Linked DNA regions of Nothobranchius furzeri. The protein of the gene in region 1 purifies or fractionates together with the protein of each later gene. This does not show direct contact. Links are inferred from orthologs where the notes say so. Each region holds a gene or a part of one and is shown on either strand. Other genes may lie near its edges. The genes, in order: cdk5rap3; type 2 phosphatidylinositol 4,5-bisphosphate 4-phosphatase; ufm1.

Region 1 (3,408 bases):
CATCTGTCTCTGAAAGCTTCCTCCTCAGCTTCTTCTAGAGTTACAAACACTTTCTAAAAAGGTTGTGCTGAGTAATCAAATGAAGGTGTGGGATTTTTTTTTTCATTTTCTTTACGTTGTTTTATGTTTAATCGGTCTGTGTGTTCTGTCAAACAGAGACCAGCTTGTTTTACTAATATTAGTCGAGGCTCAAATCATAAATGTTTAAAACAATAAAGTCAGTTCACTGCTTCACTAACCAGTGGTAAAAATCGTGTTTAGGTGAGTGTTGGCCTCTTTTCTAACCATTAATATTTGTCAACAATTATTTTTGTCTTCCTAAAACAAGACAAAAACTGTCCACCTCTTGCTCAGTTTCTAAGATGTTTGGCAGAGGTTGAAACAGAAAATCGTTTTAACCCAACGTCACGAGCATGGGCGTAGTTTAGAATTTTTTTTGGGGGGGGGGGTATGGGGGGGGATTTACAGTAAGTATACAAACATATGTTTAAAGCTGCAGCCTAGAAGCTTTTATGTAATGTCTGGAATGCAGAACTGTCAAGTACACAGGTGGCAGGAACGAGTATCAGCAGAGCCAGTAGATGAGCTTATGGACAGTTCTAATGAGAAGCAGGCTTTAACACAAGCGGTTGTTTTCCGCTTGGTCCTAGTGCTCAACCAAAATATTGTTATTGCTCGGTAAATAGTGCAGTGGACAAAAATGTACTTTTACTATGTCCATAGTCAGGAGAGATTAAACCAATTAGGTCCTCTCACAATAAGCCATATGACTTTTATAATGGATTTTGTCTTGAACATTTTAGTTATTAAAACCACATTTTTCTCACTCTCTTTTCCTTCTGTCATGCTTTAGCATTTTAGCCACTAGCATCAACGTAAGCTGTTAGCATTTAGAGCAGCGAGTGTTCATCTGAAGGTCAAATATAGTATCTGCATGCAGTCTGAGACTCTTTGATTTCTTTGCTCACAGTGAAACTTTGATGGTGATGAACTCTTGATATACTGTGCAGTTCCAGAGCAAAGTGAGACAAAAAGTGAGATAAAAATAAAGATACTAATTTTTATTTTATTTCTATACTGTTTTTTTAAAGAGCCAGACATCACTGTTATTGTAGTAGAAATCAGGAAGTATTTCCTGGATGTCCAGTTGACATCAGTTATGTAGGATCTATCTTACAATGATCATTGTTCCTTCTGAAATGAAAATATTTTAATAATAACCTGACTCTGTTCGTGGTTCTGGTATTGTTTTTTTTTTTTTTTTTTTTTCCCCAGCTAGAGACGTTCCTCACCCAGCGCATCTGTGAGATGGGGGAGGAGGGTGATGTGGTGGCTATGAGCCAGTTCCAGCTGGCCCCCTCTGTCATCCAGAACCAGACCCAAGGACACGTCCAGGACATGCTGTCTCAGGTGCAGGACCTTCTGGGTCGGCTCACCTCTCTGCGGATGCAGCACCTGTTCACAATCCAGGCCTCACCCAGGTATCACCTGAGCATCTGCATCACCTACAAGCTGAATTTGGGTCTTCAAGACATCAGGAAATGTATCTAAAGGAGCATTTTACAGCAGGAGGTGTAATAAAAGACTAATCTATCAGCATTCATTGAGACACTAATTTTTATATATTTATTTATGGACATAGTAAAAGTACATTTATGTCCACTGCACTTTTTACCGAGCAAAAACAATATTACGGTAGAGCACTAGGACCAAGCAGAAAACAACAGCTTGTGTTGAAGCCCGATTCCCATTAGAACTTACTGTAAAGAACCCCCCCCACCACCACCACCACCACCACCACACACACACACACGCATACACACACACTTCTAAAGTCAAAACTACGCCCATGTTGTTGTGTTTATGAACATGTGTGTTTGACCTTTATTTTAATTTTTAAGCATCTCAAATATCTTTTACACATTACAGTTGTGCTACTTTTAAAGGGAATGTCTTTAAAATCAAATTTAAGAAAATATTTTACTCTAATTACTGAAGTTTCACAGCAAAATGTAAAAAAATTAAGACTGAAAATTGTGAATTGCAACTGGGTGGTAGTGGATCAGTGGGTAAAGCGGTTACCTATTAGTGGTTTAATCCAGGCTTCCTCACCACATGTTGAAGTGTCCTTGGGCAAGACACCACTCCATATAATCCCTTCAGTTTGTGAATGGGCTTTGTAATTAAAAGCTCTATGAGTGGTTGAAAACATTTCAAAAAGTGCAATATAGACATAGTATATTTACAATTTTACTATGACAAATGTGCAAATGTTATCATTTATATTGCCTACATTTGGTCTTATCGATATTTTACTAATTCCAAAAAAATAATTATGCTTGTTATTATTTTTACGTGTGTGTTCAGGTATGTTGAGCGTGTATCAGAAATGCTGAGACAGAAGCTGAAGCAGGCAGACATTCTGGTGCTGAAAGCCGCTACCATGGCTGAGAAGAGGCAGGAGGCCCTACAGGAGCAGTGCAGGCTGGAGCCTTGTGTTGACCTGCTGGCAGGATGCACCCGGGAGCTCCAGAAACTGGTATTACATTACTTTTACTTTTATTACTGCTGAGGGTGGGAGGGACTTTCCACTGGGAAAACAAAACAGAAAATCAAAACCCCATGTCACAAGATCTGTCTTAAAATAGAGGGAGGGGAGCCTAAAGAAGGAATATAGAATAAACTACAACCTCAGTCACTTCTATAATAACAAAGTATCATCATTTGTTATGACTGATTATTTGCTTGTTTTTGCAGATTGAAGCAGACATTTCTAAGCGATACCACAACAGACCAGTCAACCTAATGGGAGTCAATATTTAGTGATGTTCACCTGAATATTTTGTCATGATTGACAGAGAAATAAAAATGGTATTTAACTTCAACTCATGTATTTTTGTGTTTTATATATGCATATAAAACAAATATAAAAGACAGCTGATCATTTACAAACTTTTGGATCAATTGTAAAATAAATGGCCTTATATATGGTGTTTATGTTTACATATTTTTTAATTATTACAAAATGTTAGTTTGCTTTTATGTTTTGTCCAAACTCCAGGCCAGACCAATGACTAGTACAACATATTTTATGTTTTTATTCATAAAAACTTGAAGATGATGCAACAGTTGTGTAAAAATGTCAACATTTATGGTGATGGGCTAAACTCACATCTTCTGCCTAAGTCAATTATTTGTACAATAAATACAAAATATGTTGTTCCTAAATTATTTCTCTTGGTAAATTCGTTTTAGTTTTTTTTTTCGGCAAATAATTGTAGAATAAACTCATAACTCCGTGTTCTGAGAGGAGGGGATTTTCCGTTGGCTGATGAAAGCTTAACACTAGAATGTTCTACGCATGCTCTGTGTGTGCGCGTGTTTTCGCTAGAGCTAGGGTAGGCTAAC
Region 2 (3,754 bases), on another chromosome or scaffold:
AACAGGTCCACGGCAAATTCGTTGCTGGTCTTTGAAGCTCTTTTTGGCTAGTTTTGTTCAGTTTCCTAGCCTAGTGAAACAACAAAGACCAAAACAACTTCTCCCGCTCACCGAACTCCCCATCAAAATGAAACGTCAACTCCTAACATTCACTCTTGTAACCAAATACAATACGTTTGAGGTATTTTGGCCACTGCAGCTCTCCGTACCCATTTCCTATTTACATGGGGGATTGGTTTAGTATGTCTCTCTACACAAGCAGGATAAACAGAACTCACTGCAAAAAGGCTAGCTGAAACACTAACAATCGTTCTCAAATAATAAAAAAAATCACGAAGCCAAATGCAAAGTTTAGGGCAGAACATTGACCCAGAGGTTCACTAATTGAGCAGATGCACGAGAATAAATGTAATTACCGCTTAGAGATAGAGCAAGCTAGTGGCTAGCGGTAGCTGCATCCGCTATCTCTAGAATGTTACTGAGTCATCTTGTTTCTTGTCTGAAATGAGATGGGTATTTTAAAAATATTGAGATATCGCCCAGCTCTACAGTATTTTTTTGTGGATGTAGCTGCTCCATGATTCATCGTGTCTTTGTAAATAGTTCCGCAACCTCTCACAAAAGCTTTGTTATTAACATCTGTTGGCTAATGCCGAGCAGCGAGCAAGTAAAATAACAAGGGTCTCTATGGGACAGGGGCGGGCTTAGCATAAAATAAAATTCTGTGTTGCATACTTTTTTACAGATTTTTTTAAGATCGTGCGTAATTCATGAAAAGAGGAAAACTTTTGGTAACTGCATTCAAATAAAGTTTTTCTAAAGATGGTAGCAATCAACTGAGTGGCCGTTTGCTCGTCAAGCTAATCTCTTTTTCTCCAAACTGAGGTTGTTAAAATAAACTTTCTACAGCTGTTCAGTTGTTTGTGACATTTCCCACAGAAACAGGCTTAAAAATACAAATGTCATTTTTAATTTAAGCTTTAAATTTTGACATTTTACCAAGAATGTTACCGAGATATGACTCGCTGCCCCCTAGTGGTCGGTTACAGAACTCCTGTTTTAACTTTTTCAGACCTGGAGGTTGAAATTTTGTGCTGCAGAACTAAGATTTGAACTGAGTTTAAAACACAACTGCTTATTCAAAGAACACAAGGATTGTGGGTAATGTAGTTTATTTAGATAAACCTCAGGTCATTGTTTATGTTTAGGATGTGCCAAAAGACGTCATGACGTCAGGTGTGACATCTGATTGCTTACTGAGGAATTTTCAAGGATGCAGAAAACTTCATCATTCAGTCTAATTTTCTGATTTTGTTAAAGTTTACTGGAGAATTGACATTTAGCACCTTAAATGCTGCGTAAAGAACCAAGACGAAGCATAGAAATCTGGTTTCCTATCAAAACACTTTAATTGGAAAATGCAAAAAATGTTTTAATCATGGCACGTCAAAGAAAATGATAGTGTTAGCATGAAGAGCACATTTTTGCCTCTAATTTAAGTCATTATAATAAAGGATGTATTATTTTTCCAGTGACGATTGAATCTTTTTTGTTGTCTGATGCTCATCGGGTGTCCTGTTACCAGGAGCTGTTCTGGTTTTCAGACCACAACCATCGAGCCTGAGGCTTAGGTTGGATGTTGTTATAGATGAGCATCTTGTCATCTTACCTCAGTGGACACAGAAGGAAAATCTTTACTCATATTCTCTTTCAGACATCATCAGGAGACGTCAAAGCCCGAAGCTAAAAGTAGAAACGAGTCTCGGATAACTTCTTTTATTTAAAAAAATGTAAACGTAGAGGTGTCATTAATGGCCTCTCTCCCTTTTGTCTTCTTGTAGCTGAGCTACCTCCTCCCTACACTGCCATCGCCAGCCCCGATGCAAGCGGCGTCCCTGTCATCAACTGCCGCGTCTGCCAGTCGATCATCAACCTGGATGGGAAGCTGCACCAGCATGTGGTCAAGTGCACAGTCTGCAACGAGGCTACAGTGAGTAGAAACTAGCGGTGCACGTTAGGGATGTCCCGTTCCGATATTGGTATCGGATATTGGCCCAATATCGGATTATATCGGACTGCATCAAAAATCTCCAATATAAGCAGTCCGTTCTGCATTAAGTTTCATTGCAGCAACTCTATCCAGCAGCGCCCAGATCCAGTGTGCAAAGTCCACGTGATCAGAACAGTGTTTGCTAGCAAGGAGCGATGTCGGCCATGCGGCAGTATTTTTGTTAAAAGTCCAAAAAGACGGTTTGGCTCGGTGCAACACTTGTCATGCACAAGCATCTAAAGATTGAACAGAACCGAGGAAGTTTTTTACGTCCACCCTCAATGTGCATTTGAAGCGGGATCACAAAACATTACATGAGGATTTTCGCAGTGTGTGAAATTGAATCTTTAGACCAGGGGTATGTAATTCTGGGACTGGAGGTCTGGTTTCCAGCACATTTTAGTGGTTTCTCTGTTTCAACACACCTGTGCAGCAGCTCATCAGGCTCTGCAGAAGCCTGTTAATCACCTGCTGATTAAAATCATGTGTGTTGAAGCAGTTAAAACTAAAGCGTGCTGGATACTGGACCTCCAGGCCCATAATTGAATACCCCTGCTTTAGACACAACTTGTAGCAGTTGGTCAGTGAACAATATTGTGTTTTTTTCCTTATGTCTCTTCCCTCAGCTGTTCACATTTATGCAACCAAAGGTTATTAAAAAGTCACTTGATCAAGCCTTTTCTACATTCCACACTACGAAATAGGTGAAAGTATGTATGATTTGTGCTGATATCATATCGGATTGATATCGGTATTGGTCAATAGTGAAGGCTGCAATATCGGTATCGTATCGGAAGTGGAAAAAGTTGTATTGGGACATCCCTAATGCACGTACTGGAAAAAATTCACATTGTGATTTTTTTTTTTTGGGGCGTAGTTTAAAATAAACATGAATTCTCAACAGATGAGTTAAATAGCAGCACTTTAAGTTGGCGTTTATGTGCCACGGGCGGTAGATTCATTCTTCTGGGTGAAACGGGTGTTTTTTTTCCAGCAGGACATAATCATAACTGGAGATGTTCCCATTTGATAACATGGCTGGAAATCAAACTCAGTCACGTGATTTAACCTTATAAAACAACTAGCTTGACCTTTTAAATTCATCCTGAGGTGGAGATTTTCAAACTTAATAACAATGGCCTAGTTTTAAATGTCAACAAGTTCCTCTCCATCATTAGTCCTTATTTCTTGGAGGACGCCAACGTCACAAAATGTGAGGCAGGCGGGGGTTCCGTGTTAGCTAGCAGGCTAGCATAGAGCTAACACGTTGCCTCATTTGAGCGGAAATGTTTGCAGTTTAGCCATATTTTATACTCGACTCTAGTGCAACAGCCGCTTGTAATGTGTGCAAACTGGGCATTTAACATGGCGGAAAGGCAAAGCCACCTTCTTATTTCTCTTTCGGCTTCTCCATTCAGGGGTTGCCAGAGCAAATCACCCGTCTCCATTAAGTCCTAGTCCATCACTAATACTCTCAGTTCACTGCGTCAACTCAGAAAAAAACGTGGAACCATCCGACTCTGAAAGATACGTTAATAATAGGGATGCACCGATACCGATACTGGTATCGGTGCAGATACCGATACGATACTGGTATCGGTAAAAGTTAACCGATACCAGGAACCGATACCAATGCAGTTGCTTGAAAATGGCTTCACAATAACTTGTCATTTCTGTTCACCTAATATTTTAGTTTTGTGATGA
Region 3 (3,754 bases), on another chromosome or scaffold:
TACTGCTACCCTTCGCAATCTAATGTACAGATGCATGTGTAGGCTGATGGTCTCTGGAAACGGTATTATCTCTATCTTGTCCACAACAACACGAAGCATGACTCGTTTCTATTCTAACCTTTGGAATCACTGGCGTTGTTGCCTGTATGTTTGACTGATCTTGTCGGTTTATATTGCTATTGGTTGTAATTTTATTGTATTAACTTGCTTTATTGTTCTTAATGTGTTTTTATTTTCTTGCTATTTTTTAAACTGTTTTTAATCCTCTAATCTTTATTCTTTATGATTTATCTATTTTTACTGTTCATTGTGTTATCCTTCCCATTATGGACCTTAAAGGCCCGGAATAAAGTTTCACTTTTTCACTTTTGAATAAAAAAACAGAGGGGAGAAGAATCATTTATTTAAAATGAAAACGAGCAAAAAAGAAAAAAAAAAACGATGCAAAACAATGGATTTCATCGTGACATGTCACTGTAGCTGTGTCTCAATTCAGGGTCTGCATCCTTCGAAGGACCCAGTCCGACGTTGGCTGGGTCCTCCGTCGGCCGAGTAGACCGGATGTTAACGGCTGTGAATTTCTTTTTTATTTTATTTTGTTTTTATTTTTATTTTTTAATTTTCAAAACTTTATTGAACAAGGTGAACGGCTGTGAATTTCAAGAGCATCTGGCTGCAGCCGCTCCGTCGCCTAGCAACCGTGGAACCGCTGAGCAGAAGGGAGAAGGAACTTCAAATGATGGAGCTGGAAAATTTGTTGAGCTTTTAAATAATATCCTTGGTTCTGGAGGAGTTAGAAGAGTTAGAATAGAGAATAGTTCTAGTTTTAGGAAACAAGATTGTGTTTGCGTGTCACCTTTATTCTTTACGGTAATTGTTAGTATTTTGAATGAATGCCTGTCAGTTATAGAGCGAAATAAACTTACTTCTGACTTTATAAAATCATAGATTCTTAATAAAAACTTTCTGAAAATATAACAGAAAATCACTTAAAATTATCTGCACGTAAACGCAATAAAATATTGTAATTTTACATTGATGACGTAGTTTTGGGGTCCTTCGGACTTCCGGGTTTAGGTAAACAGACTGTCAACGAAGTCGCTAGGCTTAAAAGATGTGAGTTTTGCCTTGTTTTAATGCGAAACGTTCAATTAACGTAGTTTTATTCAATCGTATCCGTATGTTGATAAATCATCCTTCATTCTTTTCGTCATTAGGTCTAAAGTAACGTTTAAAATCACCCTGACGTCGGATCCCCGGCTGCCGTACAAAGTGTAAGGACAGCTCAGCATTCCCGTTTAATGATAAATGTGTCGAAAACGTTGACCTAATTCTAACAAACATTCATTAAGGTATATTGATGTGTCCTATAAAAATATGTGCTAAAGTCACTGCTGTGTTAGCAAAAGTGATGCTGTGATTTAAAAAAAATACAGAAGAAAAGCTTCGATTCTTCACCAGTAACTCCGTAAAGACTTTTAGTTTACTAACAAAAATCTTTCTTTGAAAACACGGTACCTTGTAGTAAATGACAGATGGACTCCTACAATTTTGACAAAACAAGCAGATTTTAGGGAGTTTTTGGTTTTTGTTTCTAACTACTCGTCTCAAAGACAAGCCAAAACAGAAAGAAAATAGTTGTGACGGAACATCCTGTTGGCTCCTTCAGTTTTGTTTTAAATCATCAGTAAGCTGGAAAGTTCACCTGTGAGAAAATGCCAGTCTAAACTACATTTCTGCTAGTTTTTTTTTCCTTCTCATCCTGTATGTGCTGCTCCCTTGTCACAGCTTCTTTTATCTGCATTGCATCACTTGGTCATCACATTTGCAGCATTTAGATTTTTTAAATGAACGTTTTTTGGTTTTGCCCTAGTGTGGATCTGTTGGGTATAATCATAGAAGCTTCAAAGTGAAAGTATATGTATGTAACTCTTCCACAAATGTTTATTTATTTTTTTGTCTTTTAGTCTTTGTTTTCTTTTACTTCTTCTCATTAGCTTGGATGAAACCCACATCTGGGGGTGTTTAGATGTGCATGACTAGCAAGCAGGCTTGATTTTCAAACAAAAAGTCGCAGCAATTAGTCTTAGACAATCTTAGATTTGATATATTTATTTATTTTTTGTTGCAGGTTAAGTGTCCCAGAAAGCACACCATTCACAGCAGTTTTGAAGTTTGCAGCTGAAGAGGTAGGCCGACAGAGACAGGATGCTAGTCCATCACGTGGGTGAAGGAGACAGACAACCAGTCACACACTCACTCACTCCTATTACAGTTAACCATTTAACCTAACATGCACCTGCGTGATCTGTTGGAGGAAACTGAAGCACACGAAGAAAACCCACCCATGCATGGGGAGAACATGCTAACTCTGCATGTCCAGGTGTTAACCCTGCAGCCTTTTTGTTGTGCTACAGTGCTGCAAACTGAGCTGCCATGCTAATTATTAGCCTCTTGCTAATTAGTAAGTAACAACCGTGGTCCAGCCACAAATGTTTATCCTAAATGATGTCAAGATGCTTCTTTTGTTGCATAGAGTTTTAGTTCTCTAAATAAACCATAAGATGCATGGACTTGTTTTAAAGCCACTTGGATCAATTTCTTACACAGTTGTTGGCAATTATGGAGACGGGATATCTTGCACAGAAAATACAATTTATGTGTGTTTGTATTTTTTATTGTTTCAAATCAGTTTCAGCCACAAAGCGAGTTATCAATTACATAATAGAATTACATTTATCATTTATGCCCCACAATCAGAAGAAAATAGAGTTTAGTTAATCCCTGTAACAGAAGATCTAATCAGAATCTTATCTTTGTCAGCAATGGCATTTTACTAATTGAAGCTTAATGTTTGACTTCCTGTATAAATTATAGTGTTATTTTAAACAGGATGTTCCTAAATCTTTCATTTTTACACATCAGTTAGTCAAAATCTCAAGTTGAAAAATGAAAAATGTGGTGAGTTTCTAACCCTAAAAAGCCTGTAACTTTATGTTGTTGTTGTTATTGTTTGTGTAGATTCATCACTGTTTTAATGACCAATTATGTAAAAAGCAGCTCTGACCGACTAACTGACGTTTGTAAATCCAACCTGGTAATTTAGCAGACAGTAGTTTGGATTGTAGCTGGATTTTTAGCCACATCTGCTGACTTCCATCTCATTTATTTAACGAAACGCTACCTCTTAACTTATTTGTCACTGAAAAGGATTTTTAACTTCTCCTTATTTGATTTTGTGTGAGTAAACACGCAGCAGCTCGGCGTATGAAAGGCGTCTAATGGGAGCTGAAGCTGCTGACGTGCTGTTTGTACTCAGAGCTGGTGGGGTGTTAATTTGAGTCTGTTAGAAAGCAGCGCAGTGACGGAACATCATTTCACTGTGGATGTCGCTTGCTTTCAGCAAAACAGACTTAGTCCCACTGAGCAAAACGGGAATAAGACTGGAGAACTGTTCAAAAGTAAACGGTTTGCAGCGAGTTGCTGTGGGAGAACTGCTGTTTAGTCCAAGCTGCTCATAGATTTTAGAGTAAATAAGTGATTCTGTTTAACCTATTATTAGATGTCGGGTCTTTTGAGTTGTGTTGCTTTTTCTCCCTAAAAAACACTTTTTACATACGTTCTTTAAATTACCGTAAAGGTTTGTGCCATCAGAGAATTTTACGCAGATTTTAATAGTAGCAAATTTGCACTTTCAAGTGTTACACTCAGTATATTTACTGTAAATCCGTTTCCACTGGCTTAATCGGTCTCT

The links.
Region 2: the proteins of cdk5rap3 (region 1) and type 2 phosphatidylinositol 4,5-bisphosphate 4-phosphatase purify together in Homo sapiens (affinity purification with mass spectrometry; 3 studies listed by BioGRID and IntAct, counting the BioPlex papers as one, with this or other methods). This does not show direct contact. The link is inferred for Nothobranchius furzeri from reciprocal best matches to the Homo sapiens genes CDK5RAP3 and PIP4P2.
Region 3: the proteins of cdk5rap3 (region 1) and ufm1 purify together in Homo sapiens (co-immunoprecipitation; 3 studies listed by BioGRID and IntAct, with this or other methods). This does not show direct contact. The link is inferred for Nothobranchius furzeri from reciprocal best matches to the Homo sapiens genes CDK5RAP3 and UFM1.

What each region holds. Positions count from the first base shown.
Region 1 is NC_091756.1:50,106,086-50,109,493, forward strand, and holds the end of cdk5rap3 (CDK5 regulatory subunit-associated protein 3), read left to right. Parts: intron 1-1,275; coding exon 1,276-1,481; intron 1,482-2,367; coding exon 2,368-2,539; intron 2,540-2,757; coding exon 2,758-2,823; 3' UTR 2,824-2,885; downstream 2,886-3,408. UniProt on the Homo sapiens protein: Substrate adapter of E3 ligase complexes mediating ufmylation, the covalent attachment of the ubiquitin-like modifier UFM1 to substrate proteins, and which is involved in various processes, such as ribosome recycling and reticulophagy (also called ER-phagy).
Region 2 is NC_091759.1:18,778,021-18,781,774, forward strand, and holds the start of type 2 phosphatidylinositol 4,5-bisphosphate 4-phosphatase, read left to right. Parts: upstream 1-1,017; coding exon 1,018-1,080; intron 1,081-1,753; coding exon 1,754-1,990; intron 1,991-3,754. UniProt on the Homo sapiens protein: Catalyzes the hydrolysis of phosphatidylinositol-4,5-bisphosphate (PtdIns-4,5-P2) to phosphatidylinositol-4-phosphate (PtdIns-4-P).
Region 3 is NC_091750.1:62,920,374-62,924,127, forward strand, and holds the start of ufm1 (ubiquitin-fold modifier 1), read left to right. Parts: upstream 1-1,035; 5' UTR 1,036-1,114; coding exon 1,115-1,116; intron 1,117-1,217; coding exon 1,218-1,274; intron 1,275-2,131; coding exon 2,132-2,189; intron 2,190-3,754. UniProt on the Homo sapiens protein: Ubiquitin-like modifier which can be covalently attached via an isopeptide bond to lysine residues of substrate proteins as a monomer or a lysine-linked polymer.